Styela clava: one gene and its partners. The protein of the gene in region 3 interacts with the protein of the main gene of each other region in a pairwise test. Links are inferred from orthologs where the notes say so. Each region holds a gene or a part of one and is shown on either strand. Other genes may lie near its edges. The genes, in order: prenylated Rab acceptor protein 1-like, syntenin-1-like and chaperone Ric-8A-like.

Evidence for each region.
Region 1: the proteins of chaperone Ric-8A-like (region 3) and prenylated Rab acceptor protein 1-like interact in binary tests that used the Homo sapiens proteins (3 or more experiments, as listed by UniProt). The link is inferred for Styela clava from reciprocal best matches to the Homo sapiens genes RIC8A and RABAC1.
Region 2: the proteins of chaperone Ric-8A-like (region 3) and syntenin-1-like interact in binary tests that used the Homo sapiens proteins (3 or more experiments, as listed by UniProt). The link is inferred for Styela clava from reciprocal best matches to the Homo sapiens genes RIC8A and SDCBP.

Annotation. Positions count from the first base shown.
Region 1 is NC_135253.1:18,935,322-18,945,546, reverse strand, and holds prenylated Rab acceptor protein 1-like, read left to right. Parts: upstream 1-5,377; 5' UTR 5,378-5,521; coding exon 5,522-5,568; intron 5,569-6,077; coding exon 6,078-6,281; intron 6,282-6,442; coding exon 6,443-6,540; intron 6,541-6,941; coding exon 6,942-7,043; intron 7,044-7,642; coding exon 7,643-7,737; 3' UTR 7,738-8,564; downstream 8,565-10,225. UniProt on the Homo sapiens protein: General Rab protein regulator required for vesicle formation from the Golgi complex. May control vesicle docking and fusion by mediating the action of Rab GTPases to the SNARE complexes.
Region 2 is NC_135263.1:829,830-840,453, forward strand, and holds the start of syntenin-1-like, read left to right. Parts: upstream 1-6,465; 5' UTR 6,466-6,555; coding exon 6,556-6,606; intron 6,607-9,065; coding exon 9,066-9,156; intron 9,157-10,624. UniProt on the Homo sapiens protein: Multifunctional adapter protein involved in diverse array of functions including trafficking of transmembrane proteins, neuro and immunomodulation, exosome biogenesis, and tumorigenesis.
Region 3 is NC_135252.1:15,382,202-15,392,542, forward strand, and holds chaperone Ric-8A-like, read right to left. Parts: upstream 5,144-10,341; 5' UTR 5,063-5,143; coding exon 3,359-5,062; 3' UTR 2,153-3,358; downstream 1-2,152. Other genes in the region: uncharacterized protein LOC120343245, read right to left, coding at 336-1,628; uncharacterized protein LOC144421013, read right to left, coding at 1,765-2,148; ATP-dependent translocase ABCB1-like, read right to left, coding at 9,388-9,418, 10,126-10,295.

The DNA of each region.
Region 1 (10,225 bases), on a different chromosome or scaffold from region 3:
ATTACAATGAAAGTCAGCGCTTTGTAGCAAAAAACAGCATCATCATTCATTGCTACTAAAATCGAAATTTTAACTATAGTGACACAAATGAAACTACTGCTCTGACAATTGTTAATAGATTTGTGGCCCACGTGGAAATGTTTGTGTGGCCCAGCAGTGAACCATGGCCTACTGATTGAAAACCAATGCTCTAGTCTGGACAAAACACCATTGAATACGTAGTTTTCGTAGCTAGGCTACATTGCCAAAACATAACAGAGAAAACAAAGAAATTTCGCCTCATACTTTGTCCTCATTAACGGGCCGATCGCTTCAATCTCCGACTACACTAATAGCCGTTCTATTGTGTCTGAGAGACACCGAGATGTATGGAAACGGACACTATATTCGACGATCATATTTCTTTTAATATAACGTAGTCTTACGTATCGAACTGAAAAGTTTTCGGTCATCCCAAACAACAGTTTTTCCCTGCCTATCTGTGGCTGCTTATATGGGGGAAAGATATATACTGTGGGGCAAATAGTTATAGTAAGCATATGAATTGGGATCTATGATATGTTTTGGGTTGGGATAGATATGAAGCTTTAGGCAGAAGATTACAGTAATAGCATGAAGTGAGATTCATACAATTGGGACTAATGTGGGACACGAATTTTTGAGACACCCGGAACATAGCCTTCATAGAATCATTATTGTTGGAGACCTGGTCTAAAGATTTGTGTTGTCATTTCTTTACGTACGTGGATGGTATTCAAAATTGCAAAGTTCCCATTTGTATCGAACTAACTAACAACAAATTTCCTCATTCCAGGAAGCCACACCAAGCTTATAATTGTACGTAAAATTTACTAACGTGTGCCAATACATAGGCTACATTAACGAGGTACTAATCTAATACATAACTTTCGAAATGTCAAATATAACGCTAGCCGTCATCTGTGATGCACGTAGCCCACTTTTGCCGATAGGGTTGGTAACGTGTCATACATAAACTGCCAAGAATATGCATATACCGCCAACTCATATAGAGCCAACCCAATTATGCATATACTGCCAAGAATATGCATATACCGCCAACTCATATAGAGCCAACCCATTTATACATATGCTACCAAGTCATATGCATATATAGCCAACTCAATATACAAATACAGTTGGTAGTTGGCGCTATATGGATATTTTTGGCTGTATATGTATATCACGTTACCAACCCCACTCTTTTCTGCGGTTGTCTAACATCTAAAACGAAAAAAAAAACGAGAACGAGTTGTTGATTATCTCGTCATCCCAGAATTACACCCCCGAATGCCACCACTAGATATAGTCTTCAATGAGTAAGAATTTTTACTTTTTATAACTAGTTTTTGTGTTGTGTTTTGTCAGTCATTTTTATATAACTACCAACCAACTTATAGGGGAAACTACTTTCTATCCGTAGTTGATTTAGAACTGAAGCGATGTCTCATATAATCGTGAAATTTTCCCGCAAATATGGATGGAAGTTGAAAATTGAATTTGAAACAACTGACGCCGAGGCTTCCTCGTTGATGCAAAGCATCGGATTGGATCAATTTAAACCATCTAAAGAATAGTGTGTAAGTTATTCATATTACATTCTGGGCCTAGGGTTCACCTCAAACATAATGTAATAAATTGGGGAGGCAACAGAATGATACAGAATTTTTTTTTTCACATTCAAAAGGGATTTCGACCATCATCCCTAGCTAAGCCCCTGTCACAAATGAATGTCAGCAAGACTTCAGTTAGTTATTGAAATCGACTTGAGCCTCGAGGTCGAGGGGCTACCCAACACTGGCAGTCCACACCGAACTAGGAAGATTCCGGCCATTCCAAGATATAGTATCTCCATATAAATCCAGCATTGATTTGTTACGGTTGCATGGACTTGATGGAGGAAGTCATAACCCACCAGGTGTTACGTAAACCAGACTACGACGTCGGCGGGTTTAGCAATCCTCCCGTCATTGAGTCTACCCCGTTGGGTTCGAACCCGCGCATGGTAATCAGAGGTCCGTATTCCTAATGCTCAGTACGATACGCCAAGCGCCGGGTAAAATACCAATAACAAAGTATTCAGATGAATAAAATGTAAACACACTGACACAGATTTGCGATAATGTAACGTTGAATTTTTTTTATATATATACGATGCTCATTCATGCCGTTTGCCCAACAAGGCCTTACATACCAAGGATAACAGATTTCTAAAAACTTAATTTTCGACCTTACAAATTTAATTAAATATTGAACCTTGGGTGTCGCTGTTTGATGACTAGTTTTGGTTTCCCACAGTTTCCCTTCCACAGTAAAAATGTGTGTTGAATTTTATTTATTTTTTCCTCAATTTCGTATGTTATTTTTTACTGGTTGGAAAATAATCAAACAGCCACTTATATCTAACGATATACAAGGAACTACCGTGTTTCCCCGAAAATAAGACTGGGTCATATTTCAATTTTCTTCCAACACTAGGGCTTATTTTCAGTGGATGTCCTATATTTTAATTTATCGAAAACAAAATTATAAAGTAGAGAAATACGAGATTATCAAACATACAAAATATGGAAAGCTATACCCATGACACGTTTTTAGTCAAAATAACTGTGAAACATAGATTATCAATCATTTAAAATGTGCAGAAGAGATTTCTTGTTATCGAATGAGTCAAAAAATAATAATTCGCGCTATTGGCTAGGTCTCATTTTAAGGGGAGGGCTTATTTTAAAATCATTTTTAAAATTCAGGCTAGGTCTTATTTTGGGGGAAACACAGTACTTTTGTTTGGAAGGACCAGACCAGGCATTACCTACCAAATTTATAACACGCTATCCGTCGTTGGGGCATGGGATTTGAATCTGAGATCTGTAACCTGCGATACTAACGCAGTTAAGTCTAATTCTCTAAGTGCTTGATCGATTAATATCTGACTTTATTTCAGTATCAATCCACATTGTACAAGTTCTCGAATTTATCTGCCCCATTAATTCTGAGCAAACTTCACAATGGAGGGTACAGAGTTGTGGCCGCATTGACTGGCCCGAAGGAATCCGAAACTTGGACAATGGTTAAAATGTGATCGTAATCTGCAAATTTCGATTAAAAGAAATTATTTGAATGAAGAATAGATTTGCAGAATTTGTTTATGATGGCTTGCGTGTGTTGATTCTGGCGAGGCGGTGGGCTGTGTACGGCAGAAGATTGTGCGAAGGCAGAAGTTGTTTTGCGGCAAACATTTGGCGCTCTGAACTGCTTCAATCGAAAAAGACGCGGTGTTTTGGACATTGTTGGGGACAGACCGGCCATTGGCAACGACAACCTGTGCTCGTTACTCTTGTTAATTGCTATACTTCACAGTTCACAGTCACAAGATGTTACTGTTCATCGTCGAACATCGGTTTCGTGCTGTCGTGTAACTGTAGAGAAGAACAACAACAGAACCAACATAAATGAAAATGACCCCAAAACACCGGAATCCAACCGAAACAACCACAGACGCAAACCCCAGTCCAGCCAACATGACACCAAAAGACAGACCGACAGCGCTCGGGTTGTCACATTAGTATGTTTTAATTGTCGCTTGGCTCTTAGGACAAAATTTACGGTGTTATTTTTTTGTTTTTAGCGTGTATGATATGGTTTCAATCTGTAAGAGCATACCGCCGCGCCAATTTTAATTTTAGATGTTTTATAAACTTAGAAACAGTAAATCAGAGATAAGACGGTCAGTTAGCACAAGAGACAACAATGACCAAGTTGATGAACCGTCTTCAAGTTTTCTCTTATCCTCCATTGACAGTCAGTCCAGTGAAAAATAAATTAAAATGAACCACAAATTAAAAACGAGATAACAGGGGATATTCACACATTCAATAGTTAAGCGCACACGATAGTCCCAGATGAAGCCTTCTATTCAAGCATGAATACACCTGCTTTGAAACAACGCAGTATGTTTAATGTAAATTTTTCGGGATAATTAGCCTCGTCGTGGGCTGCCAAGCGCGATCTGCCAAGATTCTGATCCACCCGATCATCAACAGTAGCGGTGGCATAGGGATAAGATCCAACATCCGGACAAGTATGAAAGTGGGTTCGAACTCCACATGGTAGACTGAGTTGTAGGAATGGAGAAGCAGACAAGACAGGCGTTCGAGGGAAGAACGATAGCCGACGAGCAAGCGAGAGCAGCAGCCAAGAAGAGTAGAAATGGAAAGAACGAAAGCAAATAGGAGCCAGACCAGTCGCTAGCCGCCAAGGAAATATAAGCCGACGATGCCAGCAGCAGGCCATGCAAGTAAGCAGGAAAGCAAGAAGCCCCGTGCAGTCCGATGAGATTAGTTTGTAAAAACGGGGCGATAATGAAAATTAGCGTCGATCACGGCGGAGTGATAAAAGAGATCAGGTTTGACATTGAAAATAAGGAATAATAGAAATCAGAATTTTCTTTTCGTATTTAGTGTAAAACATATCTTTTTTAGTGGTTGGAAAAAACAAACTTGACTTGACAGCAATCCGCAAGGATATAAGCAAATAGAGGATGGGAGTGAATATGGAAAGCAGCGAGGCTCAGGGAAGAAATAAAGGCGGAAAGTAAGTAGTAAAATGCCAAGCCACAAGCAGTAAGAGGGGAAATAAATGAAAAAAACAGCTAAATAGAATGAAAAAAGTTACCAAGCAATTCAGGCGGAATAAATGAAAAATGCAGCAATCCGCTAGTGTTACAATAAAATAAATAAAGGAATTAAGTAAAAATGGAAATCAGTGAGGCCCAAGGAAGAGACAAACAAGATAAATTAAGATGAGAATAGTAAAATCAGCGATTGCCTTTGTCGTCCGTCCATCATGGAATAAAATAAAATAGAAAAATCATTCAGGATAGCTGGAGCAGAAAGCCCATTAGTAGTGGAAATAAAAACCAGCGAGGTTTAGGCCGACCAGTCCGTCCGATAGTCAAATATAAAAACAGTGGATAGACGATGAGGGTTAGTTCATTTCATAGCTTACATTATTAAGGCTTATCACAAATTTAACAAGACGATGCAATACACGATTGCTGTCCAATAAAATCGTTTTTATTTGCGTTCGAATTCTGATTTTAGAGTTGTTGGCTATTCTGAATACTCTGTGTACACCTTTTTATTCGTGTTCATAACAGCTTACTTCTTAGTTACTGGATTTGATACAGGAAACTACAAAATTCTGTACATCATTAATTTTCACTTCCTAACTTGAAATTAGCCGTTTTGTCGGCTTTTTATTTCCTTTGTTAGGATAAACATGAAAGAAATACACTACTGATTGCGCTGGGCCACAAGCTTCGATAGTCCATTGAATCTTTAGCGTCGCCGGGTGGACAGAATGCCTGAGGGTGATATCAACAATAACACGTCAGTACGTGGCGAAGCAAAATTGGTTAACGTTATTTCTCTTTATTACGATAGCCTACTTGCCTAATTTTGTAATTCGAACTGTCATCTTATCTCTAGGAGATATATTTTAGATGTCTACTACAGAAGAGGTAACTGGCAATATTTCTTTGTCCACCAAGTAAGTCAGATTTGGTTTCTATGTCTTGGCTTGACCTGTACCCGTAGTTCTTTGTTTAACGTTGATTCTGCAATTTTTAATGTCGGAATTGGATGCAAGTTCATCTAATACCAGAATATGGTACTGTAATGCAGTAGTACCGTATGAATACAAATTACAGTAATTTATAGAATATAGGCAACCGTAGCCTATATGGAAAATTTGTGGTAATATGGGCTAGTTTTTGTGTTAGCTCGAGACAAAAAAAAATGATATGACTGGAGACTTGAAACATACATGCATGTGATTAGCACACAGATCAGCAGATACTGTAGCCTTCCAGTACCATAACCAGCCATTCCTACAGTAAGAAAATACGTACGTATCATTGCATGAAAAGTAAGAGAATAAAAAAATAAACTAATATTAATTCGCCAATCCAGCAAACGGCCAATAGATTCATCTTAAACATACATTGAATTTTTACAATTTAATGACGAAAAAATTTAATATGCATATTTGTTTTTCAGAATGATTTCGCTCAATAGTCCAGCCGCCAAAGAATGGCTCAACCAGCGTCGACAATCTGTGAGGCCATGGAGTGATTTTGTCAATACAAAAAATTTCAACACACCGAAAGGAGTAAAAGGCTGGTCAGCTCGTGCTGTGAAAAATGTTGAACACTATCAAACCAATTATTTGTTCGTATTCATCGGACTGATAATTTATTGCATGTGAGACGTTTTCTTCTTTCCCGTATATTTATTTATTTTAAGCATAAATCCAAAACTTATACTAAGGATTGTTGCTAATCAGATGTCGGCACGGATCATGCTCCATGTCCAAGTATAAGTTCCAAATTTTTCCATTAATACAAGTTTGCCTTAATTTTTAGAGTCACTTCACCACTTATGCTGATTGCAATTGCAGTTTTCCTTGGCGCCTGCTATCTTATTCATATTAAGAACGAACAGCAGAAAATAAAAGTTTTTGGTGAGTTTTAAACCTTAATAACCCTAGAATACATCTCTATTCTCTCATATCTTGAATGTTTGTAAATATAACATAATTGACTGAAAATCATTTCATTATATATAACTATCATGAGAAATTGCCAATTTGAAATTCATTATGTACTTGTTAAATTGCTGCATTTCGGGAAAAATTCACAGTGCTTAATAAAGAGTTATCCAGGATTAAATGAATATTTCATACATGGAACAGCTAGTGTGAATATAGTCGTTAATTATAAAACCATATTGCGCCATCTACTGAAATAAACAGGTATATTTTTAATAGGAGTCCAATTTGTGTAGTCCAATTGTTTGAAGAAATTCACAAATAACATTGAACACATTTCATAAATATAAAACGGATATTATTCATTGTTATAGGACATGAATTATCATATGCACACCAATACGGAATTGCTGCTGCTTTGTCATTTCCTTTGTTTTTTATTGCTGGAGCTGGATCAGCTGTATTTTGGGTTCTTGGTGAGTTGGTTTGTATTAATTAATATTACTAGGATTGTGAATAATTGTGTTATTCAAAGAGGTTTGAGGCACGACATAAACAAATATAACAACTATCATGACCTATCTAGAATCTCAAGTCTTTTTGTATTAAACTATAAAAGAGCTTATATATCTCAGTCATATCTATGTAATAAAATTATTATCTATAAAATTTGTCATAATGCATAATATGTATTAACGCATCTATTACCAAATTTCAGTAAATAGAGTTCATATAAACCTTAGCCTTGGACGAATAAGGGCAATCTCGTAGTGTGTGTACCAGGTTAGGGTTAGAGCATAATTTTATTCCGATTTTCCCTATTTTAGTTTTATTACGAGTTTGGGGACTGTCTGTGTTAGCCATGTTAATATACCCCCTGCCCATCAACTTCCGTCCCCTTACGCAACTTGATGTGAAGTGGGCGAACAAAATTAGTTACCTCCATATTGGTACACATGCTTCTGGAGCGCCCAAATAAGTTTTAGCCATGCTATAGCAATTTTGAATAATATACATTTTCCCATGAATTCGGACCCTCTGAAGTGATAACTGATTTTTCATTTTCATTTCTCAGGGGTTTCATTTTTTCTTGTCGCACTTCATGCCTCTTTTCATATTTCACCGGAAGAAGCTGCGAAGCCAGAAGAACCTTTTATGGAAACTGTGTAAAATGATCTGTGAAATTTACCATGCTTTTAATGTTATTTAAAACTTTTGAGATAAATTAGTTTTATTATTATCTCTGTATTATTTATAAATTTGTTAGTTAATTTCACATCAGGAAAAATCTGTGTTACACAAAATGTATTTGAGCCTTATGAAGCATTTTTTACAGTGGCTTTTGTCATTGATTGTATTCCTATAGAAATTTACTGATACCAGTTTCTGACCATGTTTTCTTATTTGTGATAACTTTATTTATTGAATGCTGTCGGATTGCATTTCTTCTGTGTAGCCAGGTTAAACTACAAACTTGGAGCTGTTAAAAATGAATCTAGCTCCAGGTTGAAGAAAGTTTGACTTTTGACCTCGAAAATTGGCGGCGTATGTAACCTTCAATCTGCCAAATGCTTAGTCTTATGTTTTTCTCTGTCAGGAATTTTGACTTGCTCACATATCTAAAATTACGGTCCCCAAGAATTTGGAATTTTTAGATTGTCTCTAGCTCAGGAGGGTTGGAAATAAGACTCCGTTTTCGTCATATTAATAAAAAGATGCCAAATACGACTGCTCTGCCCTGGAATCTACAAAACTAGTAAGTACATAGCGTTCAAATTTTATTGAATATTGGAGCCCAATCTTGCTTGTACCTTATTCCCATGAAGATGAAATAGAAGTAAATCGTGCAATAGGGTGCAAATCAAATGACTACTAGTAATATGTAAATATGACTAATGTAATATTTTCATATGGTGAGCAATAGAATGTCGTTGGGGTGATGTTTCAAATATTACATTGTAAATTCTCATTTGACGGAATAAATGGTGCTTTATGTATTTACCGGACTGTTGCTAATACAAGGTAATCTCTGGGAGGTGTTGCATACAGGCATGGAACAGCAGGTTGTGATCTGGAGTCTAGACCGAGGTAATAATCTCAGTGAAGAAGCACATATATGCATGGGACAGCATGACAAATGCTTTAATGTAAATGAGTTGAGGCCATTCATTAGAGACACTTCCAGTAATATGACACCGAATATAGTTATTCGAGCACACACATATAGTGTTGAAGAAAGCCTTGGTCAACTCACATCGCGGAGGCTCAGGATATCTGATTGAAAAATTTGTTCACAGGACTATTAGAAAAACAAATGTACAGTTAGGCTTGTATTAATATTTCTGGGTGATAATTGAATTCCAACTATATTCAACACATTTGCCAAATTTATAATCTAGAGCTGATATAATATTGTTTGTAGAGGTGAATATTTCAGGTGGTCATTGAAAGTAATAAAAACGCAAAACATTTAGGGCCGCGAACCCATTAGTGAATCTTATTTCTGACGGACCTAGAGTTTCGACCTGTATTTTGTCATCATATTGGTAAGAGCTAAAAATGCTGCCTCACACATGTATGCCGTTGCAACTGGCAATACAATTATTATTCCCTTTTCTGACAGCAATGTATACCGGTATTCGTCCTCAACGCTCAACCAAAAAGATGCAGTGGCTTTTTGATTGAAATCAATCGTTAAAGATCGATCCGACTCTTTTCATATTGTTGCTGACCCCCAATGGTTCGTGGACCCAAGTTAGGGAAATCCTGATATAAACGACATCTGATAACTTTCTACTAAACTCGTGTTCCATGTCAAACTATAGTTTGCAATTGGTAACTTTGCTCACACAGCATTATCCTGTCATGTTGATATCCTGCCTTAAATCAATAACACCTTCAAGATGTCTTGTTATATCATCCATTTATCTCATGAACTTGGATATTTTATATAATAAAATAATAATATTAAATAGTTTCATGGTAATTTACAGTGAAATATAATAGGATGTAATTCAATCTGAGCAGTACATAACAAAAAAAGAATTCACCATATTTTAAATGTTATAATTCATTCCAGACAACATAATTTAATTGGATTTATATTTATAATTCTTCCCAAATCTCTTAAGGTATTTTAGTATTTTTGTTATAGCCAATGATGTTTAAAATTTCAACCAATATGAACTATTATTTTAAATATATTTGACATTCAAGGAATAATTTAGAACAAATTCATTTAAAAAACTATCAATTTGAGCAATTTAAGTCTCACAACATTAACAAATGAACTTCCATTTAAGTTTTTAAGTTGAGCAAAAAATTAAATCACCCCAAGTCACTATCTAAACCTTCCTGCATTTCTACCAATACCGACTTGTTTCAATCAGACTATTTTCTACAAAATTGGCAACAATTTAAAAGATGACATACTAGCACAGGAACGTATTCGAACCCATATATACCGTTAACCAACTGGTCAATTTATAAACGCTTTCAACCAGGGCTGAGTCTGAATTTAGCATGTTTTCAAACTTCACAAAGTCGAGTTGAAATTCTGGAAGTGAAAATTGCCGACTTGCAATGGTCCGAACTTATGACTGAGACTCAAAAAACGATAATTTTAAGCAAGCTTAATATTTTGATTAAATAGGGCTCA
Region 2 (10,624 bases), on a different chromosome or scaffold from region 3:
TCCCGCATTAGAATTCCCAAGCTCTTCAACACGATGAGTTATGGTCTGTCTTGACAGGCTATTTTTGCAAACACCTAGAAATGCTTCTACATATTGCTCGCGGGCCACGAGTTGGACGACCCTGGTCTACAACACCAACTGAATCTAATATTTTACTCCTAAAACCTCAGCGTAACAACAAACAGACTTAAATTACAGAACCCACATCCTACTTAGAGTGAAAACAGACGAAATGAACACACTTCAGCTGATAACCTATCCCTGGCAAGTTCTGGGCCACAGGCTTCTACATATTTAACATTTTATTATTTTGAAAATTTGTATTGCAAAAATAACTAATATTCATTTGTTCAAATGACTGCTAAAATGTACTGACATTCAAGAAATGGAAAAGCATAGAATCAATTCGGAAGAGGTGCTAAATTTTATCCTGGATCTACAGCTTTGAGACAGGAATGTGTCAACGTAATGCACACAGACACAGGTGCAATCATAGTTGTTGCTTTCGTTGCTATTTGAAGGTTTTATTTATTTCTTCTGCGGAAGACTCGCCAAGTGACGAAAAATTGACATAACTATGTTTCCTCTAAATGTTTTAGAATTATTGCAAGAATTATTTGTTTGTTAAGCTTAAGTTAACCGGGTTCCACATATTTGCTGGACACAGAGGCGTAGAATAAAGCACTGCTGCAACCTTGACTTTTACTATAATTCTATCCATAACAGTTGTTTGTCTTCATGACCTGAACAATAAAAATAAAAATACAGGGTTAAAGATAGTATATTGATGAAGTGCGCTAGATATTAAAGAAGCAAATTTGACCTAGGCAATGACTAAAACCGAATGATTTGTATTCGAATTTGTACAGATTTTTTGTATTCTGAAATGATAGTTTTGAATTACGTAAAATCCAATGTATATTTAATTATATGAATTTGGAAAAGTAAAACAGTAGAGTATTCTTAGTTTTCAGATATTAACTCTTTTGTCTTCGATTGTGATTGCATGTCGAACAACTTTGCTCTACTCTAAAATCATGTGATACTAGTTTTGCCTGCATGTAAAAAGAAATGACTAGAATAAAAGTATCCTCACACTATACGAATAATACAGAATATACACACAAATTAAAAATAATTTTCATTTAACAGCTGATACTACATAAATTTAGGACAGTTCACATACAAATAATATGGCATTTAAATAGTGACAAACTCACAAATTTGCTCTTCCAATAGAGCTGATGAAATTGATCATCATCATGGCACTCAGACAGTTTACTTGACTTGAAACAGCTGTAGAAATAAATGAAAAATCAGAAAACAATGTTACATTAAAGAAATAGTTATGATAGCATGAACCATTGCATTCATAATAATAAGTTATTGGCAATATATAGTTATCAATATACTCATTCCTGCATTTGGTGAAATTCATGGGCATGGTACTACAATATTCTAGTTTCATTTTATATAGCAAGAGTCAGAATCATTAATACCATAAATATCGTACATATGTGCATACAGCATACCAATAACATGCAATATGATTTTACATTGGTGTATATCAAAATATCCACCCAACCTGCTATCTATTCGCTTCTCGCCTATTTTTTTTATCCAACTTCGGGAACTTGCAGACTTGTGAATTAGCCGATGACAAGATACATACACCGGGGTACAGTGCAGTAGTGATACATGGATATCGTAGGTAAATCTCAGTTCAGCTCATACACAAAATATAACCAAGAGGAATATTTTGGGCACTGGTAGATCTAAATATCTGAAAATATATCATTTTTGTTAAAACATTTTGAAGTTTATATTACTGAATTAGGACTAGGAGTATCTGTTCGACGGTACCACTGCGCAACTGCTTACCAACGAAACTATACTAAAATACTGGGCCCTATGTCTGTTTATGACAAGAACCAATATAGCAATATACTACTGGTACAACTGTAGTCTACAATCTAAGCTAAAATAAAACTTCACAAAAACTGCTAAGAAAATCAAAAAAACGCAAATACAGAAATATATCAATACGCCAGGTACCGTATGTATTTACCTTACTAGCCCAATTCCCCGTTGTGAATACTTTTGTTCGGGCGTAGTACGGTAGGTACCGGTACAGCACAGGTACCACCGCAAATGCTACATATCGCAGCCTCGTGGTACAGGTATACAATTATTTATTCGTCGTGACGCTTGTACAGAGCTCCCTGCTACTCCATTTGTCGCCCCAGAATATAATATAGATTGTACGGTAAGCGATAACATCCAACACGACAAGCGCCGCAATCCAAATGCACTCGACAAACCGAGTTAAACCACCTCCAGACCAGGTTTAAAAAATCGCCGATTTTAAGTCGAGATTTACGTCACAGAAAGTTAAACCACCTTTTTGATCCGGACTTAAACCGCCGATCCAAAGTTAAACTCCGATTCGAGGTTAAACTACCTTTTTGATCCCCACCCTTAGAGTTGATGAGCTAAAGGAGAGCACTTGAATTTGATCTCACAATAGATGATTTTGATTGGCTCAATATTTCACCTTTTCGGCGCAGGCAGTGTTTTTTAATGTTCAGTATAAAATTGGGTAAATTTAGCGTGTTTTGCTCATTGTAAGATGGAATTTGGGTAACGCAGATCTAGAGCAGGAACGTACCCCCTGGGTGCGGATCGGATCCCCCGCCCACTTTAAAATATAAAAAAAGCATTTTTATGTATTACAGCAATTTTCGTAGCATGAAACGCTCATTTGACCGTCAAGAGTATAGAGACTCTTGAAAAAACACGTTTCACCTCAGAAAATTCCTGATTACGCCTCCGACCTAGGGTCTGAAGAGTTTTTTTAGAATTTCAAATATTGATTACAAAATCAAAAAAAATTATTTTTTGAAGACGACGCTTACTCGCGCCTTTTGCTCGAAGCAAAGCCAGATACAAGCATGAAGGAGCTGTCCACAAACTTAATGCACTGTTGAAGTTACACGAGCGCACAATTTCCACTTGGATGGTTTATTTGGAGCAAGAGTTGATAGCGTTCCAAAAACCACGAAATGTAACTGAGACGACGGGCGCACTGATGGCGGGATCTCCACCCTTTATAGTAAAATTCATGGATGTTCATATTTCCTAAAAAAACATACATACAAACCAATAATAGAAATAAACATTTAATTCTTGCTATAAAACAAATTTAAGGTAATGGGGATGCTTTTGTTGTTTTACTTTTACCATCAAGAAAGGCAAATTAGCCAATCACATTATACTCTTCCAGAAAAAGACTTTTCTAGCCTTTTTACCAGCAAAATCATTTTTAAATATTATCAAAGGCAATCGCTTTCAAAATCTCGCTTTCTATAGAAAGCATTCACAAACTGTTTTTTGTGAGACCGCAGACCGCAAGTGTTTAACTTTATTAAAAAACAGTACAAAAAATATTAATCTGAATTTCTGAAATAAAGCAGAACAGAAGAATTTAATTACTAATGGTGACATAACGAAAATTTATTAAATTTACCATGCACAACAAATTAATATTAATACCTTAGTAATGCCTTATATAATATTGCTCAGACGATCACAGTAACTTAGGCTTACTCGTCCGAACTACTTTAATAAGGTATATTGGGAACATAATTAAAATTCGCCGTATCGAACGACAATTCATGGCCATAACGGCAGATCGGACACAAAAGTTTCCCAGTAACCGTTGGTCGACGGAAATTCCAGCCGTTTCGGTTCAAATGATTACGAATTAAGTATGGGATCGTCTAAGCCCTGATTATGGCATAATACCGTTGAAAATCACGGGTTGCTCTGAAGGTTTTGTGCGTTTATTTTAAGCATGTGTAGTCGACTTCAATGTTCGTGTTTGTGCCGTGCTAATATCTTCTTATATTTATCTGTATGATATTTCCCAGGCCCGGGGTTTTAAACGGGCCTGGACTGCGAAAACCCGCGAAGTGTGAGATCAAATAGTTTTAGATCTCTTCTCGTCGGGAAAGGCTGGACGTCGAGTGATTTTGAGTTGTGTTTGCTGTCATTATTGCTGTTTTAAGTATATAGTTGCCGTACAATAAACAACCAACTGAAATCTTGAAACTTTCGACTCATTTACACACAAAACTTAAACTGTGACACATGGTTGGAATAATCCGTATTAGTTGTGAGCAGGTTCAACTGAGGTTTTTTGAATGAGGCGAAAATGTTATACGGGTGTCAATGAAGTCCCTTTACAATTTCAATTTTGTTCTGGAGTCAGTTCTCAATATATATATTTTACCCAGGCATGTTGTTTTTTAATCAGCAATTGTTTGAGTATTTTTACTTCATTTAATTAATACATCTGTGAAGATCATATATGGCATCGATAAATTCCCTTTGTGATTTAAAAAAAAAGACATCCTATATATTGAAAACAACTTTTGCTCGGTGCTATATGATAGTTTATTTATGTCTGTTTTTTTTTTTTCAATTTATTTATTTTTATGTATTTCATTTTTGCGATAGTTTATACACGACATAAGTATTTAAACGTGTTTCGATTAGTATATAAGGACATCTGGAACAACTTACGGGTTATCTGTCCCATGGCCATGTCCGACACATGATATTTAGATCCGTCGTATGGGCTTTACGATACTATCATGTCACTGCTCCGCGACTAATTTAATCATCCATTTTGATTGATTTCGTTATTTTAAGTCAGGTTTGGATGGCTGAATAGGTTATTGGCCCACTTTCTAATCGATCCCAAGCAGTAGTGGGATTCAAATTTTTCGTCAGCCGGTTCCATCACAAAAGTCATATTTTTCAGCCGGTTCCGTTACAAAAAGTCACATTTTTTAGCAAATAAACCAGTAATGCTAACCGGTTCGCTGATCTCATTAAATTCAGTGAGACGGTTCTATAGAACGGATGCGAACCGGCTGAACCACGGATCCCGAATAAATAGCCTATTTGTCTCATACAAATGAAATCAGAAGCAAGGCAAACAGATCAGAATATGAGCAGTGGAGCAAAAACAGTGCCGTCTTTGTCGAACTCGGGGTATGAAATCTTCATCAAGACAAGTGGTTCTCAAACTTTTTGCGCTTCAATTTTAGAATTTGTCAAGTCTCGCACCCCACCTCAGATACAAATACCAGATAGTAAGGCGAAAGTATGTTTTATTCAAAATCAATCAATTTTATTTGGTCACTCTGGTTTAAACAAAACACAAAACAACAACAAACGGACAATATGCCCCTGGAGGACGGGCATATTAACAAAAAAACACATTGAAACTACTTGGGTGGAAAGTAAATATCCAAAATAAAGTAGGCAAGATCAAATCAAATTTGGGTATTTTTAAATAAGTTTTGCGCCCTCTAAAAAAAATTGCCTACGTGCCCTCTGTGTGTGGGACGCTTCACCATTTGAGAACCACTCGTCAAGAAAAAGCAAACCGGCCTACTCGCTGATTAACACGGGCAACCAGGAACAAATCATAGCGAGTGACGTACATTGTCCCGTGAAAAAAAATCACGTGCTCTCGCTACGCCTGGTCACGAGAACATGACGTCATACGAGACAGAAAAGAAACAAAAATCTCGAATGAACGCATTTTAAAGATTTTGTGTCGCGGCTTCTGTTGCGTTTTATATGCCATGTTATTTGGGTTTTATCAATTCATTTTTGGGGGAACAAAGATAATGAAATGGCATATAGTTGAATAGGAAATATGACAAGCAATGGCTTCTCGTTGAGTTGCCAATTTTAGTTCGTTCGTAGCAGTTGGAATAGCTTTTTACTCTATTCTGCTAGTTCTGTAGTTAGCAATTCCAGACTTCAGAGAGTTGCCATTCGTTTCCATACCTACTAGTACTAAATACTCCATTGAATACACAGTCAGATAGTGGTACAGTAGGAATACTGTCATAGGACTTACGGAGTTAAGATAAGCCGCAAGGGAATTTCATACGGCCATATTTTCATTTAACATTTAATTTGCATTCTTAATCACATCTGCATACAGACATATGGTTGTATGGTACCGGTATGGTACGGGAAATTTCAGAGTATTATTACGGTACATCAGTACATGCTTCCGTTTTATTAATGCTAAGTTGGCCGTTGCTATATGGGGGACAATACCGTACCGTACCGTATGTTTTGTATCAGCGAATACAGCAGTCTGGCAATAGGTTGCTGCCAATGAATTTCTTCATTTTTTTTCATGATTCTGTGATTATAGATAATTTGCTGCTAGTGGTTATTTGTACCTTATGTAGTTCTGTGGTTTGTTTTCGCTGGTTGAATTTTAATTTTTTCATATAATCTATCCAAACTGAACTGCCAAATTTTTTTTGTATGACGACTTAATACGACACTTTGCCCGTGCGGCGCCAATTATCAGGGAAAAAACTCTTGACGAAATTATGTGAAAAAAAATGATGCTCTGCGATATCTATATAAATGCTTCATTTAATCAGTTTTATTACTATTCACAGAAAATACTATTTATAATTTTTACATATTTTTTCTGAATAAAGAAGCGAAAACAAAATGTCTCTCTATCCCTCACTTGAAGATATGAAAGTGGACCAAGCCATCAGGGTAAGAAGTTTAATAATTTTTCATTAATTAAGCTTTTTTTATTAAGATTTGTTTCGGGGTTGTTTGTTTATTGAACTGTCTATCCTTCATCACGCATTTCTTACCTGCAATACTTCTAGTGGGTGTAGCATAACAATTTTCGCATATGTCAATCCTAACCCCCACCTGACTGCGTCATCCAAAAAGTACTCCACTATGACTTCACAGTGACGTAGTAACGCCCTTCAAACTAAAAGAACTGTCATCCAAGATGCGCAGACGACCACCCAATCGATCAAGTTATTTTTTTCGTTGCAACCATCCCTAGATGAAGGAGGTCGCTGTCGTTAGTGAGTTCTTTATCATCAACGCAAATGCCATTTCGGGCGATCATAGGTATACTTTGGCAAGCTCTATGACGGTATTGTGATGTCATAGTCCAGTCTGGATTTCATGGCCTTTTTGAACGAGAAATTGGGCATGTAATCAGAAATTCCTGGAGTGCAATTATAGCTCACGGTGTGCAAAACACGTCTTACATTCATTAGTCGTTTTATTCCTTTATCTGTGGACAAGCATATAAGTAGCGATTTTAATGTGCCTGGCAAGATTAGGATTTTTCTAATTCAGCCTTGTTTTTAATTTTATTACTCTGATGTACATGGAAAGCATTGGTTACCATGGCTTACTTAAAAGCAACGTTTTATTTAACTTTTTTCTTTTCCTTCAACTTATAACCAAAGTAAATATTTACTAGGTAGCCTTAGCACTTCCTTGTTAGGTTGCTATTGTTCTAGACATTCAAATAGTCAAATACATTTACATAGTCAGTTATTGATTTGAGAATTTTGGATATTCACGTATAAGTTTTCTTTGAAAATGTAGGTACTATTAAAAGTCATTGACATGTGATGATTATGCAAAACAATTGATTTCCCATGCTATGAAAATAGAGGATCAATCAAAACAATGCATAATGCATTAATAAACTTTTTTTTGCATCATTGAAATGGATTACAATTTTTATTTAAACAAATATATATATATGCACACTGTATATACTCGCCGATAGGTTCGCGCTATTAGTTTTGTGTTCAAAAAGTTTAATTTAGAGTTGACTCGCACATAAGTCGCACTCAAAATCTGCGGATTTAAAAGGCCCCTTCCCTAGCTTTTTTGCATAGATAACTTCCTATTTTATTTTATTTTTGTAGGGCTTAATATAATTAAAATATGTTTATCGACGCCTGTGAGCGATAATGAGTGCATGTACGCAAGCGCAGACGATACTTGGTGGCGATTTGCATTTATGTCGAGCGGATTGGTCGCACGTATATTTTTTAAAGAAATATACGGAAAAAATTGCGGCCTATCTGCGAGTATGTACGGTATATAATAAATAATATATAGACTCTCAGATTTGAATGTAAACTTGCGGGTTCACGGTTGAAGGTTGAAAGGCCTAAAGGTTCAAGCATTGAACTATAATGCCTGGTATCGCATGTTAAAAACTATGTTTTGAAGCGTCATACAAAAAACGAAATTAAATTTTGGCAATATGTAGTTTTGGCAAGAGATATTGACAAGACCTTGAAATGTCTATCAAATTTTCCTGTGTGAACAGCTGTTTGTTTTTCTACTCAAGAACAATATGAATAAATGTTTCATTTGTGTCTCGTTTCTTGAGTTTTTTAAAGTGATGTCTAATTCCAATGATTGATTTGCTATAAAAGATATTATAACCTCATTGATTGATATGCACATTCATGATGTAATAACAGCAAATTAATTGACACAATGACGAAACAATAGACCACCGACAAAGATCAGTTCATGTAACTTGAATCAAAATACAGTAGTGAATGAGAGCTTTGCAGTTGACTAGTAGAATTATTTAAGATCTGATAGATTTGATTAGTGTAGCAGTAGCCTACTGGTTTAATTTTCGGACAGCAAATTCTTTCTAGTGCAAAATATGATAAGACACGGGTCACACATTTTGTTTATTACTCTTCCTTCCTTGTTATCTTATTATTATATTTCCCTGATGCCTTTATTTATGGGTTCATATCGATGACTATGGCCCTATTATTTTCTTGCATGAAGTTTTGGTGAATTAGTGATACAGTGGGATTGTCTGTCATATATTTGCTTTGCTTTGAGATGTCAACCAATAACTGACATGTGACAAATCTATATAGATAGACCTCTGATGCGCCAGTGACTCGTATCAATTCCACGCACACCCACTCAAAAGTAGACTCATCTCTGAGCAATGTTATGGCAACTGCTGAAATTCCAAAGAACTTCTAAAATTATATAGAAATATGGTGGTGTGTTACGCTTCAGCGAATACCGCTTGGCACAATACTTGAAGTAGTTCAGGTCAATTAGATCTGAAAAATGGTTATGAGAAAGTTTTTTCATTTGAATTATTCAAATTTTATCAAAAAAAAAATTTCAATGTTTCTTCTATTCAGGCGCAGTCTCAACATAGAGATGATCACATGCTGGCATTGAATATGCAACAACAAGAAATGGCCGCGGCAGGAATCCCACCTCAGCAAGCAGGTTTGTTTAACAACAAATTGTCTCTGAGCAAAGTTAAGGTCAATCACTCAGTAGCAGTGTTAACTCTAAGCGAATTATGAGTGCGAAAGTGCTTCGCAGTCGAAAAAAAAAGTGCGAAAGTGCTTTTGCCGATTTTAACAAGTTAGGTGCCCTAGCCTTTTATATAACCCATTTAAAACAGCATAGATACTCGAAAAAGCTCTCCTCTGGTTAATATTATGAATTAAAGAGAAGCCTTTCCGTTAACCGAGTTCCCTTTAAGCGAATTCATGTTTAATTAAAACAAGCAAATTTATCGGCAACGAAAGGGCATCTGCTAACACCTGCCGCGGACAAAACTTTCATGCAATGTATCACGGTGTCAGTTGTTTACTTGCGTGAACAGCAAAGGCTTTCACATTTGTTACTCCTTCCATCTAACAGACAACGATTGATACATGCAGGATGGAAACCATATTAGTTACAGGGTGGATCATTTGTACAAAACCTGTGCAAAATAATTCCCCCCCCCCCCCCCAATATAAATAGCAATCAACTAATTACGGTTAGGTGCCCTGGAAATTCAACTTTTCGATTTATCCCTAAACCTAATCTGATAATTATTAATTTGTGATTTTGAACCACTTTGAAAGTCGCCACCCGCTGTTGTAAGAGATAGGTTAACCTACGTTCCCTACGAAATATTACGCAGGATACTCCCCTTTTAGGAGATAGGTTGACCTACTCTCCTTTCAAACTTTTTTCTTCGAAATATTACACAAGATCACTTTGAAAATCCTCTCGTTTCGTGAGCTAGCGTGACCTAGTTTCTCATTTACATTTATATTATACTATTTCAGAGCTTACCAAAAGACCAGTAATTCTTTAATGTCGACATGCCTTGGTTTGCGTGCGATTTCGGGCAGAAAACATCATATATTGGCAAAATGTTTAGTAATGCCATGTACTTTCAGCATTCATAAATAGCACTCTTTGTAATGCTGCTGACCTAGTATCAAATATTCGCATCACAACGCCACTTGCGAGGTTTCCATATATTCCAATTACACTAATAGGAACGATGACACCAAAGAGTTTTCTTTTGCGAGATACACGAAATATAACGAGGGTGATTCTTGAAAAAAACATGGATATAGAAAATAAAGGAATGATATGATAGTGGATCCCAAATAATTTTGAGAGCGTCTCGAAATACCAATCCATTTAATAAATAATTTTTATTCAACCACATGAACGCTGATATTCTGAAAATTAATGTTGAAAGAGAAGTACGCATTCTCAGATATCGGACATCCAGTCGCGATATTCAATCGTTTATATGCACAAATCTCACATTAATAGTAATTGCTACCCAAGTTTGTAAAGTTTAGAAACCAACAAACAGAAAATAACTTACGGTATTCTAAAACACAATTAAAAATCAGTTGGCAATAAATTGCGCCGAGATGATGCCATACAAAACGAAAAA
Region 3 (10,341 bases):
GACACAAAAAATTGCTAAAGATATTGATAAATTTAGCTAGATTGATGATAGTATCAGAGAATGACAATGCTGTATTTTGCTACAGGGTGGCATTCTAATTATTGAAGTAAAGGTGTTTATTTTTGCAGAAAGGATTTTTTTCATAGTTACCCCCCTGCAGAATTTTTGTGCAAAGAAAATGGGCCATGAGAGAAAAAGGGTGTAGAACCACTGGTTTGGATCAATAGTAAAATGGTTTGAAAAATATTGAATTATATAAGAACCCAAACTAAACAAACCAATCTATAAATAGGAGTTTTTTTAAACAAATACAAAAATTTCAAATATTGAAAAAGTCACGGATTCATGAAAGAAATTTGTTTATCAGATGGAAAATCGTCCATAACTAGTATTCCCAATTTTTTCATCTCGTCAGAGATTCCATCAATAAACCCAAACCAATAGATAACTATACCAGGACCAAATCTATTCCAATAACTATAATACTGGTCTCTCAAATATTCACTATGAGTTTGTAAGTCACCGAATGATGCTTTGCTTTCTATCCAACAAACCGGATAACCATTTACTGATATTGGAACTTCCAGTTTTACATCAGGAGTTTTGTCATATCCTCGTTTTCTTAGATCATTCTCATCCAGAAATGGTAGATTGTGCCTTTTTACATTTCGAACGAGTTTTTCCTCAAATTCAAGACCAACCGAATGTCGGATAGCATCATTAATTGGGCCGTAACACACATCAAAACTTATACAATGCAAAACTTGTTCACGAAGCTTCTCATCTGGTATAAGAAAAGGATCATTCATCCAAGATGACACTTTATTTTTGATCGATGTTTGTGAAACAGAGCTTGTGCTAGGGGGTTTGCTAGTAGGCATTGATTGTGTGGAAGATTGGTGATTGCTCATTGGCGGAAAACTAACATCTGGTTTAGATTTATTTGATAACCCAATACGAGAGGCCGGAAAAGGTGAATATTTGGTTCCATCAACTCTAGCAAGATCTACAGTTTTCTGCACTTGTTCATTATTTATATTCTCCATTTTGAGTGATGCAACTGTAGTTTCTTGTGTAACATTTTGATTTTTTCTGTTACCAATCACTGTTCCCGTAGCAAAATTTTCTTTGTTGTTAGCAGAAGCTTTTTCTTCAATGAGGTATTGCTCTACAATAATTCTTGCCATTAAACAAGGTGGAATTTCGAAATCATTTGCAATACCAATCAATACAGATTTGCCATTTACATCAGAAGAACCACTGTCAGTGCCATTCGAAACCGCTTCTTTTCCATTGCACAATTTTGCAATTTCACTTGAGGTTTGTTCTATATTTTGTGCGGGTAATTTGTTACTTTTCACTACATTTTGTTTATGATTCATTTGATGTGAGATATTCATTCGTTCTTTATATAATTTGTAATAATATTTCAATTTCTCTTCTTTCATTTTTGAGTGGTACGTCATTTTCACTTTTCGTTGCAAACAGGTCAAAAATATACTCATTAGTGTATGATATTGATATTGAGACCCAAAGTTTGAAATAACATTAGAGAGAACTGTTCTTGGACAATTAGATTTGTGGTAATTGATAAAGTCAAAGATTGTGCTGTATTCTTCCAGCCTCATTCTTCAAATAGATTGAATTTGAAGATTTCTAGCAGCAAACACAAAAAATTTATAATTGAAAAAAAAAATGTGGTTGTAAGCCAAATTGGATATATTTCACTACAAATTTATTTCAGTTTTAAAATTATCCTGTTTACTATGCTACTTGTTTTCCAGTTGGCTTTGGAAGCGAAGCTTGAATTTTCATTAATGCTTGTCTTGTTGTCTCTTGTTTCTTTTCCAAATCCTCAATTGTTTTCTCTTGTCTTTTAAATTCCTCTGTAATATAATCAACTCGTTTTTTCACATTCGCTTTTGCTTCATTCAAATCCTGCTTCACCAATACAGGACCTGTAAGCTTATAAACAGTGGCATCACTTTCAAGAATATCCAACTCTTTTTGTACGAGAGTATTCTCTGTAAGTTGAGCTTCAAGCTGTTGTCGTAGTTTCACACACTTGCCAATAGCTTTTTGATTTTTTTGCAATTCAGAAACGTGACTTTGAAATTCTAGCTGTACTTTTTTATTAACTTTTTCCATCCTGCTATAATATCACAAAAATACAAAAAAGATACGTTACATGAAGAACATGTGGAAGCTATATATACATAAATGTAGAAAATATTGATGAAAAACAGCAAAACATCTGAATATATTGAATATAATGAAAATAAGTCATAACATCACAATATAGCCATTTCGAAAAGACTGCACATTTAAATAACCCCATAAAGTGAAATATCATCCTTCGATAAGTTATTTTTTTAACTGATGGCGAGCTTGACTGTAATCTTTGTCCATGTTGTTCTATTGAGCAATTTGTAAAATGAGTAATTTGAAACTTCAAACAATGATACAACACATAAACATAAAAAAAAAAAAAAACTTAATGACTCCCATGGACAATAATCTCTACTAGGCAAAAACGAATGATCAAACAACACCTTACAAAAGAATAGGTTATAACTGTATACAAAATATAGCAAAAAATCTTGCCAACTTATACATATCATGATTGTATTTTGCAGAAGCTGGCTAATATACAGAAATTAACATTGTGTAAGATATGTCAGAATTTAGTTCTTAATCTAATATCGCAACAAAATGCAAATACTCGATGCACTACACAGAATTCTAGTACTCCATATAGCTTAAAAAGCATTTTTCTAGGAAAGTTGGTAGCATACGTGACGCATTAATTGACTTAATATATTGCAAGAAATGACATGAATATTATTTTGAAACAACTGTCAGAGAAAATTTTTTTATTCAAATAATAAAACTAAATTCATAAGAAACGATTACTAAAACAGACATGATTCCCTCAAAACAAATAACTTGGTGAATGCAGCATAAAATTTCATTAAACATAGAATTACAAAAGAGAAAACGGGCAACAGACGGGCACAATTACATATATGCATTAAAAAATGTACAGACTTGAAATATGTTTTTACAAATATAGCAATTTGCTTCAAAACTATCACAGTTAAAGCTGGACTAAGATACAGGAATGCCTCCAAGGTGCCAATGGTTGGCATATCAGCCTCAAAAGATAGTGTCCAAAATTTTATTCGAGGTTAGTTTTGCATTTCACACAACATAAGTTTTACCCAGGATATAATAATAAAGACAAATTATTCTCAAATAATGAACTTCCATTCCTATCGCAATATTTTGTTAGTTATTTAAAGGAAGATGAGTTCAGAAAATTTGCTGCAAAAGCTTATATTATGTCAATCTGTAATCTTCAATCAATGTCTTCATCAGAATCTTTCTCTTCTGGTAATTGCATATTGTGGACTTTTTGTTGAAAAGGAACCAGATTACCAGTATCTGGATCGATACATACAGGTTTGATAATATCATCACTTGACAATTTCGAAATCTGATTTGCTAATTGAACAGCAAGATATTCTTTCTGTTCTTCCGACATACCTTCCATCGGATTGGGAATATTAGGTGGAATGTGACCAGTAATGGGGTTAATTTTCTCTGCATTTTCTAAATATTCTTCTGTGTCAGAGTCAGAATCACAATCAGAATAAACAGTGTCTCCCTGGCCTCCTGCGAGTAACCCCCTGCTTGCAAGCAATCCCGCAGCATTTCCATAACCAGTGTATTTAACAAGTCTCTCCACCTTCTCTCTGCACAAGACAAATACAAAATCAGCAGCAGCCGCTTTTACTTCTGTGTTAGCATGTGTGAAAAGCTTTATCAATTTATTACGAAATTCTGGTCCAACTTCAGGACGATGCTCAAAATCCTTACGTGGTGGGATAACGTAATTCTTGCAATATTTTCTGACATATCTTGATGTACGACTGATGTGGCTCAGCAGTGAAAGAACAGGTTGCAAGCTTTCAGTTGTCAATGACTTATTGTGAATCTTCAATTCAACTTCTTTTAAAATATTCAAAACAGCACTGAGATCTCTTTCCTCCCATTGCGGGATGTCTTCGCCATTGTATGAAAACACATCATCAGGGTCATACTTGTCAATTAAAGGAATTATCGTATCATCAAGTAAACAAGACCTGGGCACAGTGTATAAACAATTTCCTGCGTCACCATGTAATTTCTCCGTCAAAACTTTGTCATCACCTGCTTGAACCAAATACAATTTACGACAAACTGATGTCAAATCTTCAAATTCAATAGTAATTCTTTCTTCCTTTACTTGACTTTCTTCATGCCGATATTTCAGATTCAAATTGAACAGTGTTCTTAATATTTCACAACAGGATTTTGCATGTGCAGGAGAAATACTAGCTCTGATACATGGCGTAGGTTTAACAACTCTTTTTGATGATGTCAATTTCGAATTCAAATAATCCAACAAGACTCGGCTACCCTCGTGGTTTTCAATAATCTTTGTTCTTGCTTGCACATTGAGCACAGAAACGAGAAACAGCAATCGAAGTGTTAAAAATTCAACTTCAGTATCATTTGATTCATCTTTGGGATCCAGAGATTTCAAACGTTGCAAAATGCCTTTTATAAGTTCATCGTCGCAACAATAACCTTGCGAATCTTTTGAAATGAACATGATATTGCATAGACATTTACTAGCAAGTGTAAACAGTATCTTAGACGTTTCGATGACCGTCATTGCCTTCCCATTTTTATCCAGTAATCCAGCAATCACTGTCAATATCTTCCATGTTTCTCGATTCAAAAATCTTCCATTCATTGACATATGATCTCTAGACATTACGACTAGAGCAGAAAGGCTTTCCACCACATATTCAGATTCTGAGGTGCTTTCACCATCCAGAGAAGACTTTAAAATATCCAATAAATGTGAGACAAATAGTTTTCTTTCTTGCATGTCATTTTTGCCAAAAATGAAAGCGCCACTATTCTTTGCATTGAACTTTTTTAATGCTTCTAATGATTTATCAGTATCATTCTCAGATAATATAGTATTAGGATATCCATTAATAGGTTCCATTGTCAGACTGTGGTTCACACTAAATGAAGGAAATCACTAATACTGTAATAGTATAGTTTAGTACAAGTAATGATCTGAACAGTTGTATATTGAATAATTATGAAAGGAGGATTTCTTAATAATCCTTTCACACATAAGGTATACACCTATTGTGAGAGATAAACAACTTAATTATTCTTTAAACCACTAACCAGAAACACAAAACATAAATAATAGACCAAATGAGTGATTCAAAATAAAATCTTTTATTAATGACTGGGTGGTAAAGAATGAGTTAATCAGATTTTTTCACCACCCAATACATGAATAAGTAATTGAAACTAGTTCAGTACTATTGATCTCTCTATACCAGAATACTGCAATATGTTAAAAGTTATAAGCACCGTACTGCTGGATGAATTTAATCTGACAGAGAAAAATTCTTGAATACCAAGTACAGAACTATTGCGCTATAAACAATGGGGATAAAAATATGTGGTGTGGGGCACGTGGAGTCTAACGAAGTACACGGAGCAAGTTTTTAAATAATGCCAACCAAAAAAAAAAACATGATGTAAAAAAAATAAAGTCCAATATTTATTATTTTTTTATAATAAAAGTAGTCTCGGACAGAAGTTGAGTCAGAACGCTACTGGTATATGGTACTCTATTTCAGTTTACAGTACGACATAGTCTGCCCATACCCTACTGGTATATGATATGGAATATACTGCTGTACTGGCTTAGTTGAAAATCGAGTGGATTTTATTTTAACTAAACGCAGAAACGCATCTGTCAAGTATTTCATTTCCGTCCTAGACAGACTTTAAAAAAAAAATTTCACATCACATTCTGTTTGGGATTATTCAAGCAGTTTCGGTACCAAAGTTACCCCAGCCCACACTCGCTCAGCCCACACTCAGCCTGACGTCAATGGGTCAACCAACTATTTTACCACTTTATAAACGTTAATACATAAAAACTTGGTGGCTATGACAATATAGAGACCATATTGGATATACACAGCGCAAATGCAATACCAAGCACGGACCAGTTACCCCTAGTATGGCCTGTCAAAAACGAGTGTGGGCTAGCGTCTCACGAGTGTGGGCTAGCGTCACACGAGTGTGGGCTGGCATCCTACGAGTGTGGGCTAGCGTCACACGAGTGTGGGCTGGCGTTCTGACAGTGTTATACGGTAAGTTAAGGCATCCTAAACGCTCACAGATTACTAAATTACATATATCCACGTTTACCTCAGCACCAGAACCTCTCAGAGTCCGGCAATTGAAAGCACAAAATGTGGTAGACTAATCCTGTAATCGGAGACTTCATACAAAACCAGCTTGGCCATATTTTTTTAATACGGGAAACTTATTATTTTTTCTTCGCTGCTCACTGTTTAGAAATCAATACCGGTACCGGTACGGTATTCAATTTAACAACGGCAATCGCCTGACCTTTATAAAATACCGGTACCGTAATTACAATCTGAATATATAAAGTGTGTCACGTACTGAAGAACTGTACCGGTACGGTATACAACTAAATAAAAAGATTTTGATAATTTTAAATATACCGGCTGCACCCGTACCGACACCATACGGTAACTCAGTAACTAGCCTCCTCCCACACCAAATAAAAAGGTCCAGACGAAAACGGACTCTTGCGCGAATACTAACCCTATACTTATATTTTTGCGACTGGCGTTATGCAAAACAAACATTTGCGAGAATGCAATCGCAGAAACAACTTAGCGACAATGAATGAGCAGATAGATGGATAGATAGAAGTTTATTCATCACCCAGTCATTAGCCAACAAATCAAACACAAACAACAACATTCAATAAGTAAAAGAAGAATAAATCGACTAACAACGGAATTGATAGGAGGTTGGAAGGACCATACGGTCACTAAATCAAGCAGCGAATAAATTTTTGAGAAAAAGAAAGATATTCATATTTGATTTATCCTGAAAATAAGGGGAACCAATATAATAGGACAGCCGTGTGTATATGTATATATATAAGTTTATTTTGTTTTTGCGAATGAATCGAAATAAAATCTATCTATCAAGATGCACACATATAGCCTAGGGATAAGTTAATTTATAAGATATTCTAGCCAAGATAAAAGTTTTTGCATTTATAGAAAATTTAAGTGATTTGATTAGGTACCTTACCTGCTGTGCTGGGATATTCACACATTCAATAGTTGATGCAGCGCACGCAATAGTCCCAAATGAACGCTTTCAAAAGAGGTATGAATACACCTGCTTCGAATCAACGAAGCATGTTCAATGTAATTTTTGAGGGGTAATTAGCCTCGTCATAGGCTGACGCGCGACGTCGTTAATTAATTAAGATTCTAATCCACCCTATCCTCATCGGTAGCGGTAGCTCAGGGGAAACGTAGTAACACGATCAAACATTACGACTTTGGTTCGAACCCCACACGGTAGATTGAGTTGAGGGAATGGACCAGCAGACATGACAGACAGCCGAGGGGTAAAGAGGGCAGACGAGAACAGAGTTGAAAAGGAAATAGAAGCCAGTGAGTGAGTGGAGAAGGCCAAGCGGATCAGGAGGGTGGAGCGAAAATAGAAATCACCAAGGGGACCACTGAGAGAGACAGTGAGAGTGAATTAATCAAGGCGTAGCCATGGAAATCGGAAAATGAGCGAAAATACATCAAGCCAGAAGGCCAAGCGATCAGAGCGGAGCGCAATAATAACAATCAGCGAGTAGACGAGTGAAAGTAAAAAGTTAATAATGGGAAATTGGCGAAAAGAACAGCCAAGAGGAGAGAAGCGCGATCCAGCGAAGCCAATTATAGTAATCACGAGATAATAGGAGACACGAGTGGGAGTGGTGGATTCAGCGAGGCCAAAAAATGTAACGAGTTAAAAATAGGAAGGAAATTGGCGAAAAGAGCAGCCAAGAGGAGAGAAGCAGCACGGGGTTAGAGTGACCGAAATCAGCGGTAGGAGGAAGAAGGGTAAAAAAAAAACTTGACAAACAATAAGTAAATGATATGATGTAGTCCTAAGTTGACGCAACCACAGCTTACATCCAACACAATTAAGCCAATGGACATCATCGGTCATGAATTGCCGACTTTGGGATTTTTAAAATGGCGATATATCTTGCTTAAAATAATCTTGAGGATTGAAAAAACAACACAAATTCGACGAATCAAAATATCGCAAAAATACGATTCCTATCAATCTATGGTTGGAAGTTTAGCACGTATTTGATGTTATTTTAAAATAATAATCTTTCATTTCAGTAATGGCGATATATCTTGCTTAAAATAATCTTGAGGATTGAAAAAACAACACAAATTCGACGAATCAAAATATCGCAAAAATACGATTCCTATCAATCTATGGTTGGAAGTTTAGCACGTATTTGATATTATTTTAAAAAATAATCTTTCATTTCAGTTATCGTGATAGTAAAATCTCAACTCAAAGGCGAGCTACGATGGACACAATTAAATGACTATGACAAGACATTATAAACGTTCTCATCGGCCACGGATTGAATATTTTATGCAACAGAAAACTCGTTATCCGCTGAAAAGTCTTTGTTCAACGAGTTGCCTAATCGCGAATAAGGTTGCGTGGAAATTTTCGATCCCAAATTTGGCCTTCCCCTCCCTTTCAAAAATCCTGGCTGCGATCCTGCTTATAGAAAATGTGATATATATATTCGAATTTCCGCATTGTTGCCATATTTCGACGGCTCAGTTGCCAAATCTCATTTCAACTGTTGTTATTGCCTCTTTGGACTGTTACAAAATTAGCCGATCTATAATCGAATTGCTCGCGGAGCCCCTAGTTTTCTCTCACGAAGCCCTGTGGCTTTGTACGGAGCACTTTGAGAACCTATGCTCTAATATCTGAGTGCTATGTGTTAAAAAGTTTTGACACTTATTTTGAAGGCAAAAATATTGGAAATTATTGCGAGAACATTGTTTTCCTTGATAAAGTTTCAGTAAAAGGACGAAATGTATACCCAATCAGATATTTACCTATTTAAAGCCATTTATTTAAAAACATAACAACCTCAACATTAAGTATTTGTAAAGAAAAATGAACATATTTATATAACGAGAGTCGAGCACCATCGTAAAATGAAACACTTATACTGTATGAACCACTCATTGTCGTGTATAAAAAGGATCCTTTGGTACAAAAAATTGATGGTGCAGAACAAGAAAAAACTCAATAAAAAACTTTGGGAAAAAATGCTCATGGCAAGTTTTCTGAACGCATTCGTCAGTAATCCAATCTTCTGACTTCTTTTGTGAACACAGAAGAAAATATTGCTTCTTTTGCCTACTACTGATGTGTGAGCTGGGCATTGACCAAACTGAAAAAATTAATTGAAAATAGAATTCAGTGCTGGCATAAATGCAAAACAAATACTACTCAAGTATCATTAAAGATAGCTGGCATGTACGTCATCATGTCTTTTAAGAATTCTACACAGACATCAAGAAAAGTAAATGGAAATAAAATCGGAAGAGAACAGACAAGACTGCAAGATCGACCGACCTCTAAAGAAAAATTATGACTGTTAGCTGTTCAGGTGACAAGTAAATAATAATAAATCCTAACCAAATGCGGACTGCATAGAAGGAAAGTAATGAGAATTGAGAAATATTTTCATTGAAACTTGAGAAACAAGAGAATATTAGGCGTTCTGGCCCAAACCCAGATTGATAATAACATTCAAATATATACGGACAGCCCTAATTAGTATTTACACTTTAGGAAAATCAATGAGCATAACACGTGAATAAATAAATGAAAAATGGAATTACTAATAGATAAAAAAATAAAAAATTCGAATATTCGCTTTGGACAATGTAAAAAAGATGAAATAAAAAACATCATAAGTATACATGGTTGACTATCCCCAAATTCCAAAATGAAGTTTTATTTCTAATCAGCAAAATTTTTTACTTCAGTAAAATTATTAATATTGACGAAGAAGGAAATATTGAACCTCAATATTAAAATTCAAACCACGCTTATTATGCTGATAGCAAGTAGGCGTCTATGTTATGATTATACCTGTAGAATGCGCCTCGCTTCTTTAGAAGTTCTTCATGTGTTCCAGTTTCGACAACTTTGCCCTTGTCAACAACTGCGATGATGTCTGCATTTTTAACAGTTGACAATCTGTGTGCTATTATGATACTTGTACGACCTTTCCGTGCTTTGTCTAATGCTTCTTGCACAATCTGTAAAACATATCAAAAAATATTAAAGAAGACGTCTTATATTATA